Linked DNA regions of Callithrix jacchus. The protein of the gene in region 2 purifies or fractionates together with the protein of the main gene of each other region. This does not show direct contact. Links are inferred from orthologs where the notes say so. Each region holds a gene or a part of one and is shown on either strand. Other genes may lie near its edges.

Region 1 (6,272 bases), on a different chromosome or scaffold from region 2:
TTTATGAAGTTTATAAAACATTTAATATCACCAATGGGCACGTTATGTTCTAGTAGCTACTAAACAAGATTGGCTATTCAAAAATGATTGTTGAACAACTTCTATAATCTACCAAAGTGGACATATTGGCCAGTAGACTGGGATTAGTTCTGAGGTTCCCAGTTATTTATAAAAGTTTGCTCTGTTCTCCAATCTCAATGGAATAGAGCAATCCAAGATCATTTCAAATGAAAAGACATAATTGGGGACAGTAGTAGCAGATGGAGCAAGGTGTTGAGTAGGCTCAGAAATGAGATGACTCTTGTTGAACAAAGTCTACAGATCATGAATTTTAGGCAGATTTACAAATAAGGATAGCACATACTCTGTAAATAGCAGCTGTTGCCACAAGCCAAAGGGCAATATTTACATGAATCCTGTGGCAAGGTCTGTTGACCAAGCATCGACCTTTCCAGCCAAATTCATATACTTGGTAGCACTTTCAGCCGCGTCACCTCAAAAAGGAAGGATTGCATTATACATGCACGGAAAATTGCCAATGTACAAATATGTTCTGCCCCCAAATAAATTTCTAAATTCTTTTTTTGGAACTTGGAACACATGTCCCCACCAAAAAAAGGTGTTATAAAGGGATGTGAGTTTCCCAGATTTCCTCACAAAAGTGCATTTAACCCACAATGTAACTGAAATAACGTACACTGGCAATGAGAAATACAGTGGAAGAAAGCTGACTTGAAAGCAGGAACACACCAATACACGATAAACATTTCTTGAGCTCTTCTCCTTTGCAGTCTCATGCAACAAAAGAGGAATTCCATCTTCCGATAGCTGCAATTCAGTGAAAAAGAAATCCTCCACTCTTGCTGTCCTTAAGGGTCCTTCTCAATTCAGGGTATTTAGAGCGTACATCGCCTCAAGTATTTATTATTTCTATGTGTTGGGAACATTTCAAGTCCTCTCTTCTAGCTATTTTGAAATATACATTGCATTGTTTGTTCACTAAGGTCACCTTACTCTGCTCTGAACGTTAGAATTTACCACTTCCATCTAACTGTATGCATATTTATACTCATTAACCAACCTCTCTTCATCAATCTGCGGCAACCCCACACATCCTCCCCAGACTTCTCGTACCTATCATTTTACTCTCTACCTCCATGGGATCAACTTTTTAGCTCCCACATATGAGTGAGAACGTGTGGTATCTGTCTTTCTGTGCCTGGCTTATTTCATGCAACATAATGTCCTTCAGTTTCATTTATGTTTATGCAAATAACATTTCATTCTTTTTTTATGGCTACATAGTACTCCATTGTGTATACAAACCACATTTTCCTTAACCCTTCATCTGCTGATAGACACTGATTGATTCCGTATCATGAAATGCTTTTATATCCATGATCATTCATAGCATCAGTATTGTATTACTACCAAATAGAACCTGTGCCAAAAAATCACAGTAATTCATTTCAATTACTAATATTGAGTGCCTACCACATGTTGCCCCAGGTTCTGTGGGGGATCTTGACCTTGCCTCCTAGGAATTTAAAAATTTAGTGGTGAAGGCAAGAGAAGGGATCGTGCACATTGGCACCCTGAGAGGTACCAGAGGTGAAAACAGAACAAATATACATAAAACTTAAGAGTCAGACTTTGCCTTGTAAGTGATTGTTTGCAGCTACAATCCAGAGATTCAAGGAGTACTTCTCCTTCTGCAGAATTTAGGAAGGTGGAAACAGCACCGCTAATCCGACCTCTTTAGAAACCTGGGAAAGGGCAGTCCCCAGAGGGGTTTCGCTCTTTGCAAATGGTGAGAAAGACCTTCTACAGTACAGTTATGAGCAGAGGAAAAGTTCTTTGTGCAAAAGGGGAAAGCGCCCCGAGGTACAAAGAGCAGATTTAAGGGAAAGAGGATTCGTTTTGCAAGCATCTGCGAGGGGAGCTCAGGCTCACTGTTGGGGGCGTCTGGGAAAGGAGATTTTTTTAGGGGGCCGCGAGTTATGGGTTCCCGCCTCCACCCCTGTCCGCGCCCCACACTACGGCAACAGTTGGTCGTGCGGGGCCGGCCCGGGCTCTGGGTGGGGAAGGGGAGTCTCGCGATCGTTGAGGGGGGGGTGGAGGAAGGGGGGAGAGTGACGGGGGGAGGCCATGACGTAGGGTGGGTGGACGGAAGTGGGGCAGGGTTGAGGGTTATTTAAAGAAGGGGGGGCCTGAGCGAAGGGTTGGAAGCGGAGTGATTCCCCACCCCTGCTCCATCTAGCTTTTTCCAGTGCAGCCACTGCCGCCGCCCAGGAGCCCTCGTCCCCTGCCTCGTCCCCCTCCTTGTTCCCGCTCCCACGGCATGGAGCAGGACACCGCCGCAGTGGCAGCCACCGTGGCAGCCGCGGATGCGACCGCCACTATCGTGGTCATAGAGGACGAGCAGCCCGGGCCGTCCACCTCTCAGGAGGAGGGAGCGGCCGCCGCGGCCACCGAAGCCACCGCGGCCACGGAGAAGGGCGAGAAGAAGAAGGAGGTAAATAGGAAGGGGGTGTGTGTGTGTGTGTGTGTGTGTGTGGTGGAGAAATCCTGTGCCTGGCCCCTCTGAGGGGCCCAAATCCTGACCTTTCGGCGCCGACAGGTACCCGCGAAGCTCTGCGGGGCTGGGGGCGGCGGGTGAGGGGGTCGGTGGCGGAACCGCCTGGCGTTCGCTCCCCTCCCCCTTTCCTTCTAGCCGCCTGGAGAACGGGGGCGGGGCTGGGCGCGGGCGGGAGCGGCGCGGGGTGGAGGGGTGCCCGCTCTCCGGGGGCCTGGGGGCTCGGGAGCCCCTCGACAGCCCCCCGACCCCCTCCACCTTCCCGGAACTCGGGTAACGGGGTGGGGGATGGGGCCGTGCAGGAAAAAGCCTCCGCCTCTCCCTCTCCTCTCGCTGGCTCCCTCTCCCCCTCTTCCCGTCGGCCTCTGCCTGGGAAATCTGGGCCCTTCAATCCCACACTCGCGCTAAAGGGGTTTTGCTGGGGCTTCTTTTTGTAATTTGAATTTCAAGGTGCTTCTTTTTGTAATTTGAATTTCGGGGTGGAGGGTGACAGGGAAGACATTTCTTTCTTTCTTTGGCAATGTCGGTCTTTTGGATGGCAGGAAAAAAACCCATCCCTTGTTCGTTTGAACCCCGCCTGCCGAGGTGGGGGTGTCACCCCGAGGAAAGGAGCTCTCCGCGTCGTCCCCCCCCGCCCCCCCCAAACTGAGGAACCGTAGACGCTGGCTTAGGAAAATTTCCAACATCTGCACCCTCACCCTCTGCTGCCCCGCCCCCGACGGTATAAGGTTTCACTCCAGGGCCACCCGAATGGTCCCTCAATCCGGCCCCAAGCTTTCCAGGCTTCCGCCTCCCTCTCCCAGTGGGCGCTGCTGGCTCTTGGACACACACAGTTTTTTTTTTCCTTTAATTTTTAAAAAAACTAAGCTTCGCCAAGATGAGCTGCTTCTAACGTAAGGGAACTGCTCTAACACCTATTAAAGCCAATCCAGAAAATGTGTATGAGCTCCATAAGGCACATTTCGTGTGGACTGAGACATGCAAATAAAACTATAAAACACTGAAAAATTGCCGTAAAAATAGGATGGGGCATAAGCATTTTTTATGTATGATAAAATTGCATAACTAATCATTTATGGGTGGATTTTTTTTCCCATTTAAGAGTAGTCATCGCAATTTTAAAAAGGTGGGCAATTATGCTTTAGAGATCTCAAGTGGCTTTGTCTGAATCATTATATGATACTATACGACCAAATGAAAAGCTTTTGAGGAAAATTAACACCTTTCGCCTAAATGAGAAGAGCAATTTTAAATTTAGCAGTTGCTTATGTGACATATTTTATTGCTACAAGGTTGACTAAACAGAAGGACAATTGTAGTGCTAAATGAAAACCGTAGAAAACACACACATTATAAGATCTACGCGGTACTTTTTAGTAAGACAATATTGTTGATTAAAACTGGGCGTAATACCAAGCATCAATATGAATCAAATGTTGGGAAATTCGGAAACGTCTATGTGCCTTTTATTCCCTAGACTAGGCAAATGTGAGTGCCAAACTGCCTTTTGTATGGCAGGAAAGGTTGTCGAGTTTCCAGATTGTATGAATTTCTGAATTTTGTATAAAAGTTGGAATGGTGAAAAAACGCGGGACCAATAAAAAAACCCATATAATAAACACTGAGTTGATACCTATATATTTGTCAGCTCTGATGCCTCATCAGAAATTGCCCTACCAGTTCTTCATTTGTCCACCCAGGATAGGGAACTGTGGTGCTGTATGTCAGGAACATCCTGGATATCTGAAGTTTGTTTTAGCCACTGCATCATTTTTATTTTTAATTAAAAAAAAATTGGAATATATACTACCTTGGCACTTTAAATTGTGTACTAAAAGTGCAGATTAACCACTTCTTCATGGCCATCAGTTAGTGCACTCTGGACAGTGACGCAAAGGCACTTGAAATCCCACAGGTTGTTCCTTCTCAGTTAAGTAACCACCTCCCAGACTCTTCCAGTATTGTGTTTATGTTTTAAAATAATTTATCTGGCTGGGTGCAGTGGCTCACACCTGTAATGCCAGCACTTTGGGAGGCCGAGGCGGGTGGATCACTTGAGGTCAGGAGTTCAAAACCAGCCTGGCCAACGTGGTGAAACACCGAAACACCGTCTCTACTAAAAATACAAAAAAAAAAAAAAATAGCTGGGCATGGTAGTGGGTGCCTATAATCCCAGGTACTCGGGAGGCTGAGGCAGGAGAATCGCTTGAACCCAGAAGGTAGAAAAAAATTATTTATTTTTTTGAGATGGAGTCTTGCTCTGTTGCCCAGGCTGGCTGGAGTGCAATGGCACGATCTCAGCTCACTGCAACCTCTCCCTCTTGAGTGGAAGCGATTCTCTTTCCTCAGTCTCCTGAGTAGTTGGAATTACAGGAGCCTGCCACCATGCCCAGCTAATTTTTGTATTTTTAGTAGAGACAGGGTTTCACGATATTGGCCAGGCTGGTCTCAAACTCCTGACCTTGTGATCTGCCTACCTTGGCCTCCCAATGTGCTGAGATTACAGGGGTGAGCCACCGAGCCTGGCCAGCTATCACTGTTTAAACAACTCATGTGGTTTCACCAGAAAGAATATGTTAGTTTATGATAAAGAATGTAAGTGTAACAAAACCATAAACTCATTTAAAAATAACTGTAAAATAAAAAAGTGTCAGTGATAAAGCGATAAAGAAGGGAGAGGGAAATAACAACACATGCACACCAAGGATGAGGGAAGCTACTGCAGTGGAAGACACATTTTTGTTCTGGGTTTCTGCTGTGGCTTCTTGTAGAGTGCCTTCCTCTAGTGATCTTTCCCATGTCATTTACTGTTGCTTGTATTCTTGGTGACATGGGAAGCCAGTTTATTAAACTTGGTAGAATTGTCTACCAAATTAAAAAAAAATAGGTTTCTGAATGACAGAGCTTTCGTGTAGAACACAGTAGATCAGATTTAGTGAATTGACCTATGACATTTACCTACTCAAAGGTATTTTTGCCTACCTTCTGGTTATTGAACTTACTTGGTTTAAGTGACGGTTGGATTACCCAACACTAGAAATTGGAGATGGTATCTTTGGTAATAAAAAACGTCAAGAAAAATGTCATGGTCTTTAAAATAAGCCATTTTGTTGACCTTGTGCTGCATTCTCATGGCACCCAGACTCAGATAACAAAATCCAAAGGAATTCATTAGAGTGTCTTAGTCACCCTTGATCTTTACTTGTATGGAAAAATATAGTTTTGAGAATACACATACACATACACATAAACAAATGAGGTTTAGAAGGTAGGCATTTTAAAATTTGTTGTGGAAGATAGTGCCAATTAAGTAATTACCCACAGCTTTTAATAGCACTGCTCAAGATTAGGAATTTTAATTAGCATATAATTAGATTTTGATGGTAGTCTACCGCAAGGTAAGCAAAAAAGTAATGAGTAAAATGTTTTTCTAGGATTAAAGCTTTAATTTTCTGTAAGTGTACTTCCCACATTATTATATATACTTGTGAATATAAGGCAAAGTAATTTTCAGTGTTTTGAAACTGGAAAACTGGATTTCATATAGCCTTTCAAGGAATGAAAGATAAAGATATGGATTTTGAATTTCTTGTTGCTTTGAAAGTAAATATGATTTATATTATACATGGCAGCTTTAAAGTGTGAGTTTGAGGGGTTATTTAGCAGTTTTCTATCTCATCCATCCGGGATTACATTC
Region 2 (5,720 bases):
TGTGATTACAAGCATGAACCACCACGGCTAGCCTACTTTCATTTTTTAATAAATTCCTCTAGAAAGCACGTCAGCAATACCTACAGAATCATTTACAAGTCAAGGAAGAAATTTTTCTTTCTTTCTTTTTTTTTTTGAGATAGGATCTTGTACTGTTGTCTAGGCTGCAGTGCAGTGGTGCCATTAGGGCTGACTGCAGCTTCCACCTGCCAGGCTCAGGTGATCCTCCTGTCTCAGCCTCCCGAGTCGCTGGGACCATAGGTGTGCGCCACCACACCTGGCTTTTTCATTTTTGTAGAGATGAAGTCTCACCATGTTGGCCAGGCTAGTCTCAAACTCCTGGGCTCAACTAATCTGTCTGTCTTGGCCTCCCAAAGTGCTGGGAGTACAGGAGGGAGCCCCCTTGTCCTGGGGAAAGTTGTCTTATTTAATGGACATGTTATGTTTCATTCTTTCAACGTTACTTCAAAGTCTCTGTACTTTTTTCATGAAATTCTATTCCTGATTACTTTTGGCCAGACTATGTCATAGATATGAAAAGTTCTTCTCAGAGTTCTACAACATTTCAATCAAGAGACTAACCTCTCAGAGTCCCTAGTTTGGAGAATACAATATACATTTAGTTATAAAAGCTCTAACTTGTTTCCTAAGACATGCGTCTCACTGCTCTTTATGTACACAAATGTAAATTCTAGAAAACATACTGAAATTTTAAACCTTATTAAAAAGGCAAAGGAAAAAAGAACCTTAGATGCTAAATACTGGACACAGAAGAAAAGGACATGGCCTCTTACCTGCACTTCAATTTGCAGATCCTTGTCCAGGAGTGCTCTCTTCTTCAGGATCTCGGCTCTGAGCTGCTCTTTGTGCTTGAAGAGCAGAGCTGACAGCTTAGTGGCATTCTGCTTGCTACGTTTCTGCTCCACACTCTCTTCCCGCTTCCGTTTTTTTGCTGCCTGTTTTTCTTCTTTATCTATCTTATCCAAAATATACTTCATCACCTGGTTACAGACAATCATTCTAGAGAAAAATACACAACCTATGTAATGCTGGGTGTTTCATTTTGAAAGGCTTAAGACATGATTCTTCTATGCCTCTATAGATAAGACACAAACCTCCTGTGACAGGAAAACTTCGAGAGTGGTTCAAACCGGTTAGAAGGAACTATTAGTGCCAAGTGTTCTCATTTAATGAACTTAGATCAAGACAAACAAGTATAAACTCAGAACTCTGTGCATGTGCACGATAAAGAGAAGAGACGGACAGACAACAAGACCCTGCATCTCCCCTACCTTTGATTCTCTTCTCTTTCAGCTGGAGTCATGCTCTTTTTCTGTTTTAAATGTTCTATTACAGCATTATGCTTCATCACCACCTTCAGGACAGAATAGATCCAAAGCGCATATTTTATAATGACCACAGGTTAGTGCACAGATAACAACAGTAGAAATTTGAGCACATAAATGTGTTTTTTTAAAGAAACTAAGAATTTTATATCGTAACATAAATAAAACTAGCAGCTACTAGATGGCCTGGGTGCTTACTACCTGCTGGGTACTGTGCTAGGCTATGCACTTGACATTACCTCATTTACTCCTTGTAACGATACTGAACCACAGCAATCATTTTATAAACGAGATACAGAGATATAAGGAAATTAACCACCTTGTTTGAGAAACAATAAGTAATATAGCTGAAATTTTAACCTATCTTCCTCCAAAGGCCATATTTTTAACATTATACTTTCTTTTCAGGAATTAATTTTAAAGAGCTGTCCCTTGTCTTCCCTATACAAAGATTAGGGGATAGACAGTGTAGTAATTCTCAATTTACAGATACACAGTAGCGCTAGGTAATAGTACATTTAAATATAATACATATGATCATCACTTTCATAAGAGTATTACCTTACATTTGCTGTTTAAAAAGTGCTTCTATATATATTACCTCATTTAATCATTGCAATAATCTTGTGTGGCTGGAAAGAGAAGGATTTTAAGAGGCTATAGCTAAGGAGGAATAAGTGAGTTTCACAGACTGCGAATGGGAGACCTAGGAACTGAATGAAGGTCTCACGACTTGGTAACACTTGAACTCCACACTCAAACTCCTGCCTAGTGCTAAGCGAAGCAAGCTACAGATAGATGAAAAGATGGTTTCTGCCAGGAACGCTATCAAATGTTGTATGTATGACTTCATTTTAGTAGACTAATTCTAACCCATCTAAATTGCTTTATTTCACTAATATGCCATTCATTGCAAGATGTTGCTGAATGATGCCACTTTTTATTTAAGCTACTTTTTTTTTACAAAGGTGTGACCAGAAATGCAAATGAGTTTAATCTGTCCATAATTTGCACAGTCTTCATGCAAACTAAGGAATGACAACTTCGAGTAACTCCAAAGGAATTGCTATAATGTCTGAAGTGGCTTTAAAACTTAGTTAAACCCTCAAGTTTTATGTTAATGATTAAAGCTCCTAACTCCATCTTCCCATCCTAGTCCTCCCAAAATACAGGTCATTCCTCATAAGCACTGACTATTATACATATCCAATGAAGAGTTCCACACCACAGTAGTCATTCAATATTTTGTTTGGTCAATTCAGTGTTTCTTCTGAATTTAAACATTAATGACTTTGTCTCATTTAGGAAACCTAACACAACCAAACACTAAGTCTACTGCACAGCACAATAATTCAAGCTACGGAACATGCTGCTTTTACTTAATAACTTTACCTGTTTCTGAATGATTTCACTTTGATTAGAAGCTTGGAGGGTGTGTTCACGCTTAATTTCTATCTGTTGCTGTTTCTTCTTTTGCTGCTGATCCCTGAGTTGCTGAACCCTTTGCAACTGCTCTTGCACACTGGCTGCCTGCACTGTAACCACATTCTGAATCTGGTGAGTCTGCACAGCACTGCTTTGCTGAATTTGGATAGGTAACTGGAGTTTGATTTGCTGGGGCACACCACTTTGCTGAGCCTGTATCTGAGCCACAACCTGTGACTGGATCTGAGAGAGAACCTGGACTTGTTGTTGCAGCTGAGGCACAGCAATGACTTGGGGCTGTGGCTGCTGTGTTTGTAGCTGAGGACGGGATGGGGATGAAACAGTAACTTGATTTAAAGTTTGTCCTGATGAAAGAGTTTGAGTTGAAGACTGTACCTGGGGTTGTGATTGTGGCTGGCCTTGGGAAGGTATCTGAAGAGATGTATGTGGTTGAATTGGAATCGGTTGTGAGGTTGTAGTCTGAACCTGGGATTGTTGTCCAGGAGACACTTGGGATGGAGTTGATGGACGTATTCGAGTCTGTGATGGACTTTGGACACGAACAGGAGACTGTCCTTGGACATTACTTTGAGGCTGAGACTGTGCTGCAACTTGGGGTTTGGATGACTGTGCTTGGGTGGGTTGTGCTTCAGAAGGGACATGGGATGCAACAGTTGTTTGGGTCTGAACTTCAGGCTGAGTCTGAACTTCAGGCTGAGCTGGGGACTGGGGCTGGGTTTGGGGCTGGGTTTGGGGCTGGGGCTGAGCTGAAGGCTGAGCAGTCTGTGGCTGGGCTTCTGCCGGACCCACACTTGATGACTGAGCTGGTGGCAGGGTTTTGTCTTGATGTACCTGCGTCTGGGGTGACAATTTACTTTGTCTTTGTTCACCTGTACCTGTGAAAAGGAAAGATGAACCATTTCTATTATTCTAGAACATAAGACTGTGGTTAAAGAAGAATCTGAAGAAGATTTTCTAAAGTTGAATATTTTGGCCAGGCGCAGTGGCTCATGCCTGTGCACTTTGGGAGGTTGAGGTGGGAGGACCACTTGAACAACATAGTGAGACCCCGTCTCTACACAAAAACAAAAAAATAGAAAAAATAATCTGGGCATAGTGGAGCATGCCTATAGTCCCAGCTACCTGGGAGGCTGAGGTGGGAGGATTGCTTGAGTCCAGGAGGTCAAGGCTGCAGTGAGCAGTAATGGTGCTACTTCACTTCAGCCTGGCTGACAGAGCAAGACCCTGTCTCAAAACAAATAAAGTAAATAGAGTTGAGAATTTTGGTATTTTGACACAGAAGGTCTCTGCCTTTAAAATACTCCATCTGGACATGCTCAGGGCAGGACTCTCCTAAACTGGGGAGCCTGGGCCTGTTTCTTGGCTGTCTCCTGTAGACCCTCCTAACTCTCCCGAGGGCTGGCTTCTGAAGTGCAGCCTCTGGAAATTAGCTGAATCACCTGGCCCAAGCTAACTATCAAGCCTCACTTTTCTCCCATGATGCGGTGGCAGTTAGTTATAACGACTTGTAGCAGAAGGCCAAAAAAGTGGTTTTGGACCTGCTCTCAATTTCAGGTCATGAACTGGATTTAGCCACCCTCCCTGAGATCACCTCCATGACTCAATCAGCATCTACAAGGCCTGGCAATGAGTAAGTGTGGGCCCAGTTACCAAGATAACCATTATTTTTGCCCCCTTTCTTTTTTTTTTTCCTTTCTCTCTTTTTTAATGGGAGGGAGAGGGTGGTGGTAACAGGGAGTCTGTAAGAATAGGTTATAAGCTTCGAGACGCTGTAGGCTGACTATGTCAACTGTTGAGCTCACTGGCTTGAGCCACATCCTTCCAAGGGTAAATACTGGTTCTCCTGTTGGCCTCTGTTACCCAGCAACGTGTAGTAGTAACATCCGACATTTCTGACAAACCCACAGCTCTACCTGCTGCTGTCGTGGAAACAGTGGTGGTGGTGGTGCTGGCTGTGGTGGCTGTAGTTGCCAATGGGGTAAAGAGGAATCGCTGAACAGTACCATTTGGCATTGCAGCTTGCATTAGCTGCTGGCCTGGGCCTGGGAGTACAGTCACCCCTTGAGGTATCAACTGCAACTGTCCAGTAGTTTGACCTTGTCCTTGAATTACTACTGTCAAACCTTGATTGCCACCCTGTGGAAAAAACACAACATGTATCATCTTGAATTGTAGCTAAAAAAGAAAAAAAAAAAAATGAAAGAAAAAAAAAATTAAAAACACAATATGTAAACAGTGTTCAAAGCATCAATCTGTATGTACAGCATTTTTATGTGTAACGATCCTTTAATATAATGAAAATGCGTATTTGAATGGCACCATCAGGAATTTAGGTAAGCTAAGGTAAGAATATTTACGTTGCTTAGTAGGAAAAACATCAACAATCTAGAGTTCCAGTTCAACTCTCCCAATGGTTATCTGTTCACAGCCAGTTATCTGTCCACAAACAACACTGTTTCTCCAGATTCAAGTTTCCCAATCCATAAAATATTGAATGACTAAGGTCCCCACAAAATTCTGATTTTAAATAATCTTATATTCATATTTTATAATTAAGAAAGAATCTTCATATATATTGCCTCATTTGAGTCTCACAATGAACTTGTGACTTTGTGGGATAGGCAGAGAAAATATTATTATTATTTTTTTGGGACGAAGTCTCGCTCTGCTGTCCAGGCTGGACTGCAGTGATGAGATGTTGGCTCACTGCAACCTCTGCCTCTGGGGTTCAAGCAATTCTGTGTCAGCCTCCCGAGTAGCTGGGACTACAGGCACCCACCACCCTGACCGGCTAATTTTTGTTTTTTTTAGTAGAGATGGGGTTTCACCATATTAGCCAGGCTGGTCTTGAACTCTTGACCTCATGATCCACCTGCCTTGGCCTCCCAAAGTGCTGGGATTACAGGTGTGAGCCACCACGCTGGCCTA
Region 3 (6,422 bases), on a different chromosome or scaffold from region 2:
GAAATGATTAACTGTATAGGGATATTAAATATCTTCAGAGCACAATTTCTTTTGCATTTTTTGGGGGCCTACATGAATTTGTTCAAATTTATATAACTGTAAAAGCAGGAACACTCCTTACATCAGTTGACCATATGACAGCTTTCACCACCACCAAGAATTTCTTAAAGGCTGGGTGAAAACAGGGAGATATCTATCATTTGTCCACTGGTCATAAAACTTTTATGATTATTAAGATCTTCACTAATAATAACTGATATAATTTAAATGTTCTAGTTATTGTATTGAATTTTTAGAGCATTTTTTGGCATTTCAGTTTATATGCCCATCTTGACTGAAGAGGACAATGCTATAAAATGCATGTAAGGTAAAGCTCTTTAAATGTCTTAAGAACAAGCAATGTCACAAGTCCTTCAGGAAATTTAAAATTATATATTAAATATTTTGGAAATGTTCTATCCAATGAAGTCAAATGATTATAAAGTTAATCTAATTGATCATTTATTTAAATTTACCTTGATTATTATAAGGGGATTTAGAAATACTGAAGGACACTTAAATTATACATTACTAATTCCTTCAGGTAGCTGTAGACAATACCGAAGCATGGAACTTTCGTGAAAGAAAAGATGAATTTGATTAACAAGGAAAACTTTCCTAAGAGTTACATTTTTTAAAAAAATAAAATACTTATTTGCACAAATCAGATAAAATACAATGTACAGGTAGGCCTACAATGAAAACAGGAAAATGAAGCATTACCAAGAATGATTCATAAGTGACATTAAGAAAAGAAACATAAAAAAGCATTTCTTCCCTTCTCTGAGAAGTGAAATAAAGAATGGATTTAGTCAAAGTAAGAGAAGCTAGAGTAATAGAACGACATTAACCTGGATGGTTTTAAAGATAAACTGGAGAACCGCCTGTTTGAAGGGCCTTTTCATAGGAAATGAAAGGGACATAAGGTCAGCCCTCAGATAAAAATGCAAAGAGGCAAGATAAATAATTTAGCCAGTATTTCATGTTCCAACTTTCTCAATGGAAACTACTGTTTTCCCCTTTCCACCCAAGTGGTGCTAACTCCAAAAGGGGTGCAGGGAGAAGTGAAATATAGGGAATTACATCCATTTACTTGAAAACAGCATATCCTCTCAATGGCACTAAAATACTGAGTTCATAAGAAAAATATACAGATGATATTGATTTTCATACGCTGATAATGCCAAGAACTACCACTGGAGACCTCAAATTAAACGCTTTCTGTGCATGAATTTTGGCAAGAATATTTGAGAAATAATAGCAAAATCTTAAATATTAAATGTCATAAATACAGCCATCAATGTTGTCAACAAAATGCACTTGTAAATATAAGCAAAGGCTGGTCCTGAGACTTATAAACAGGCCTTCCCTTTGGTGACATCGAAATCAACATAAAACATAGTAGGGCAACCTAACAGAATAGAAGTACCTCTGAAGACAGTATAAGAAGATGACTGTATTGTGGTCTCGCTACTGACTGCTTTAAAAAACTAGTGGATTAAAAAGTTGTGAGAGGGAATAGAAAATTAGGAACTGCTTCTCAGAGGCACAGAGCAACACAGAAAATGTGGTGTTAGCATTACATATTAGATTAGGTCTGCTACTGTTTAATTTTCTTAAAAACACTGAAATGCATTTTATTAATTACTGGATTAAATAACCTGAAGAAAAAATATGAATGAGGCCTGAAGACAAGTCCAGTTCACTAAAGAACTGGACAGCCAAAAGCTTGAAAAACTAAAATTAAACACAGACTATATCACTCACAGCTTGGGCAGACTGCTGGGCCTTGAATTTCTAGGTTCTTTAAAATCAGGATATTATTGCAACTCAGGGTTTAGTTTTGGTTGTTGACTCATAGAAGAAAGATACCAGATAAACCTCAAGCAACAGTGTGAAAGAAAGCCAGAGGTTAGGCAACATTTATATGAGATCAGATGAACCCCTGATATTCCTCCCAGGTCTTGAATATGATCCGTGAAAATTCAGAGTTCAGGGGTAGAGAGTAGATTGTGAGGATTAATGGAAATGAAAAATACTAGGTTTTTCACATTAGAAAAGGGAGGTCATAATTACATTAAATGTTGGCAAATGTGAAACAGGTGCTGAAACCCATTCTCAATTCAATAATTTGGGAGTTTATAAAATTCAATGTTGTCAATTCCAGGAGGCAGGAATAACTGTGTCTCAGTGTGGTAAGATATGACAACGTAGGTAAAAGTTCATTATTTTATACTGGTGATACAAGCACAAAACTGGTACCATCAAAATGTATACTTATATACAAATTGTCAAATAGCTCTTCGGGGACTTTTCTTCCGAATCTGAAAAGGAGGCAGCAGAGTTGCTCTTTCCCTTGTAGACAAGTATACAAGTTATGTTCATCTGGGATGTCCAAAGTAATCAGGGGGAAAAAATCATCAGATATGACTTTGAAATCATTATAACAACAAATCTTTGTTATTTTGAAACTTCAAATAATACTAAAAAAAGGTTTCAGATGGTTGTTTTTTTGAGGTAAGGTGAGCTCCTGCAATCACTAACATTAGCTTCTTCATCCCATAATGTGAATAAGTATCGAAAAAAAGGAAACAAAGGGAGTCCCACCAAAGGGCCAGTGAGAGAAATTCTGAAATCCAGGTCTGTTCCAGGATGAGAGCCTTGTCCAAGATTCTGCGTTCTCTTCTTCCATCACTCCTTTCAAGAACTCAAAATGCCAGTCAGTGCAGGTAAAGGAAGATGAGCATCCACTGGTTGCCAATTTCTGAAATTTTCTTGTTGTTACTTCTAGGATACAAGCAAGTGATGCCTTCTCATTTTCGTCCAGGTTTCCTCCAGTCTCCGAACACAGCGGCTCCGAATCCTCTTGTCACTCCCTTCTCCGGGGACCTACCTAGGCAGCACTCCCAGCCCCTGCCAGCTCTGGAAGCTGCAGAGATCCCCAGTCTGGGATGGGGATGGAATCCTCTCACTGCAGTGCAATTCACCGGAACCACGACCACCGAACAGATCGGCTGACAACACACATTCCGAAAGACGAGCAACAGAAATTTGGACAAGCCTTGTCCAATCAACAGGCTTTATTTGGGATTCAGTTTTTTTAATGTATTCTATTAGGAGGAAATATAATCAGCCACCAGTTAGCCCTCAGAAAGAGGGGACAGAGATGTTTCTCCGCTTCTGCACGCTATAAAGTGAATCTACAAGTAGTAGTTGTGGAGGGAAAATGGGCCTGCATGAAGAAGGCTCCCACCATGAAGGCACGGCCAGGCCGGGGTGCACGCAAAGAATACACACAATACCAGGTGATTTACACCATCTGCCCCCGGGACCACCATTTTTGTGGTTCCCCACGGCAAACCAGTGGGTTTCTCCCGGCAGTTTTGAGGCAACAGCTACTTCAACAAAGCTCTGTGAAGAGGAAAAGAAGAAAGCTCCTCGTACCCTCTCCTGCCAGCCGCGGCCCCAGCCCTCCCGTGGCCGCGGCCCCGGGCCCTTTCCCCCTGACAGCCCCCGGGACCCTCGCATCGCGAGTTCCGAGCCGTACAGTTCGACCTGGACCCGGCTTCCTGCGTCCCCGGCGGCCTCACGGCGCCCCCGAAGGCGGAGACGGCCCAGGCAGGGGGAGGGGCGCACCGGGTCCGCAGGCCCCCAGGGCGGCCGCACGCCCCCTCCCGGCCCCGCAGCTTTCCCGCCTTCCCCGTTTGAACAGCTCCCGCCCGCCCTCCTCCTTCTGCCCGCTCCAGCCGCTTCCTGGGGGCGGCTGCGGCCGCTACTTCAGTCCCCGGCTCGGCCCCTGGGCTAGGCCGCGACGGGCCTGGGGCGCCTCAGAGGCGGTGTCGCGGGCCCAGGACGGCGGGTGGCGGGGGGGCGGGGCTGCTGCCGCCTCTGGGTGGGGGCCCAGCCCGGCCTCTTGGGGGCTCCGCTCGCCGCTACCTTCACTCGGCTCGCCCGGATCCCGCCTCAGCGCCGCCGACTGCCGCCATCTTGGAGAAGGAGAGAAAAGCGCGAGCGGCCAGGGAGCCTCAGTCGAGCCCAGAGCGCAGACTCAGGCTCCGGAGGGGGAATCCCGTTCGACAAAGAGCGTCGAGCACATCGAATAAAACTCGGAGCTTGCTGAGCACCGGAGCTGGCGTTGGTTGAAAATTTGCTATGTGCCAGCCTTGCCCTGGAAGCTTACAAATATTTCGCTTAATCCTCACTGTATTCTTGTCGCATTTTGCAGAAGAGAACCAGGCCGAGAGAAGTGACGTGCCCAAGGATGCGCAGGTAGTTGGAATAGGAGACGGAGTATTACTTCCAGTCTTCTGATTCTGAATGCGGTGCTTTCCCCAAAATACTATGCTGTTCTTTCAAGATATTTATATACAGCACTTCTCCTCTTTGCAAAACCTAGATCCATGCAGATCAATAGCAGTGTGCTTATTTGAACTTCAGCATCTACATTTGGCTATTTGGCAGATTAGGAGTGAGGTGGTAGAACTTTGTGACAATGTACAGTAAAACAATTTGCATGGCGAATCATCTACATTTCTTAGTTTGAAACAGTCTTCAGAGAGAGAGGAAGAGATGTCATTTACAGGCGAGAACACAATTTTTCCGATTTGCCATGGAGAACTCGGACCAATGGGTGGAAATTACAGTGTGCAGAACTTGATTTAATATAAAGAACGCCAGGGGCGGTGGCTCACACCTGTAATCCCAGCACTTTGGGAGGCTGAGGCGGGCGGATCACCTGACGTCAGGAATTCCAGACTAGCCTGGCCAACGTGGCGAAATCCCGTCTCCACTAAAAATACAAACATTAGTCAGGCGTGGTGGCGGACGCCTGTAGTCCCAGCTACTCTGGAGGCTGAGGCAGGAGAAGCGCTTGAACCCAGGAGGTAGTGGTTGCAGTGAGCCGAGATCAAGCCACTGCACTCCAGCCTGGGCGACAGCGAGACTCCGTCTGAAATATATATATGTATGTATATATGTATGTATGTATATATATATATATATATGAAGAACTTATTTTTCTAGTACAGTTCAATAGTATAATGGCCTTCCTTGTGAGTAGTGGGCTCCCTTTCACTGGAGGAGCTCAACAGAAGCTGGTGTTACTGTTAAGCAGAGAGGTTAGAGATGTAGATTGGCTTCTAGAGTTGTGAACCCCATGCAACATAAAATCGTGCGTTTGTGCAATGTGCAATGTGTATTTTCCTGGGGCCGAGGCCCCAACAAAAATTAAGAACCCCTGTCCTAGCAGATTTATCATTGCAGAATTAGGTGAGTGCTTGAAAATGATGTGGTCATGAGACCACACTTGGCCGAATTACTCTGCCTCCCAAAGTGCTGGGATTACAGGCCTTGGCCACCACACTTGGCCGAATTACTCTGCCTCCCAAAGTGCTGGGATTACAGGCCTTGGCCACCACACTTGGCCGAATTATTCCATTTACAATGTGCCACAACCCCCTGATTTGAATATTTTGCAAATGTGAATGTTCTCATTTGGTTTTCGATTCAGTTCAGTGAATGTCTGTTACTAAGTATTGTTATTATAGTGTTAATTATTGTTATTACTTAACTGTAATTGAGTTCTTACCATAAGCCAGACTTTGGGTTAAACACATAACATGCAGATTTAGTTAATTCTCATGACGAGTCTGTAAGATGGGCACTTACAGACTTCTTATGAGAATTAACTAAATGTTACAGATGAGAAAACTGAGGCAGACCGAGGTTAAGTAGATGACTCAACCCCACATGAACAGCAAGTTCTGGAGTTAGGAGTCAGACTTCGCAGCCGACGCTCCTAATCACAAGTAGTGTTGCTCTTCAGGACGGACTTCGCATGCAAGTCCAGTGACTGTCTACAAGGCACTGGTGATTAAACAATGAGGCCTTAAACAGGTGAATGGTTAAGCAGACTGTGGCACGTCCACATCGTGGAATCCAATTCAGCAGCAGCAAGGAATGAGCACTATTGACCCACACAGTAACCTGAATGACTCTCCAGAGAATTATGCTGACTGCAAACAGGCAATCCCCAAGAGTTACACACTCTATGAGTCATTTATTTATTTTGAGACAGTCTTGCTTTGTCCCCCTGGCTGGAGTGCATTGGTGTGATCTCATCTTACTGCAACCTCCGCCTCATGAATTCAAGCGATTCTCCTGCCTCAGCCTCCCAAGTAGCTGGGACTTCAGGCATGCACCACCATGCTCAGCTAATTTTTATATTTTTGGTAGAGATGGGGTTTCACCATGTTGGCCAGGCTGGTCTTGAACTTATGACCTCAGATGATCGACCCACCCTGGACTCCCAAAGTGCTGGGATTACAGGTGTGAGCCACCTTGCCTGGCAAAGTATGAGAAGGGGGAAAGAGTAGAACAAGGAG

Evidence for each region.
Region 1: the proteins of BPTF (region 2) and SMARCA1 purify together in Homo sapiens (affinity purification with mass spectrometry; 4 studies listed by BioGRID and IntAct, with this or other methods). This does not show direct contact. The link is inferred for Callithrix jacchus from reciprocal best matches to the Homo sapiens genes BPTF and SMARCA1.
Region 3: the proteins of BPTF (region 2) and HMGXB4 fractionate together in Homo sapiens (co-fractionation; 3 studies listed by BioGRID, with this or other methods). This does not show direct contact. The link is inferred for Callithrix jacchus from reciprocal best matches to the Homo sapiens genes BPTF and HMGXB4.

What each region holds. Positions count from the first base shown.
Region 1 is NC_133524.1:125,188,203-125,194,474, reverse strand, and holds the start of SMARCA1 (SWI/SNF-related matrix-associated actin-dependent regulator of chromatin subfamily A member 1), read left to right. Parts: upstream 1-2,220; 5' UTR 2,221-2,341; coding exon 2,342-2,515; intron 2,516-6,272.
Region 2 is NC_133506.1:90,320,740-90,326,459, forward strand, and holds part of BPTF (nucleosome-remodeling factor subunit BPTF), read right to left. Parts: intron 4,929-5,720; coding exon 4,706-4,928; intron 3,668-4,705; coding exon 2,739-3,667; intron 1,376-2,738; coding exon 1,293-1,375; intron 1,021-1,292; coding exon 795-1,020; intron 1-794. UniProt on the Homo sapiens protein: Regulatory subunit of the ATP-dependent NURF-1 and NURF-5 ISWI chromatin remodeling complexes, which form ordered nucleosome arrays on chromatin and facilitate access to DNA during DNA-templated processes such as DNA replication, transcription, and repair.
Region 3 is NC_133502.1:206,128,604-206,135,025, reverse strand, and holds the start of HMGXB4 (HMG domain-containing protein 4), read right to left. Parts: upstream 4,053-6,422; 5' UTR 3,976-4,052; intron 1-3,975. UniProt on the Homo sapiens protein: Negatively regulates Wnt/beta-catenin signaling during development.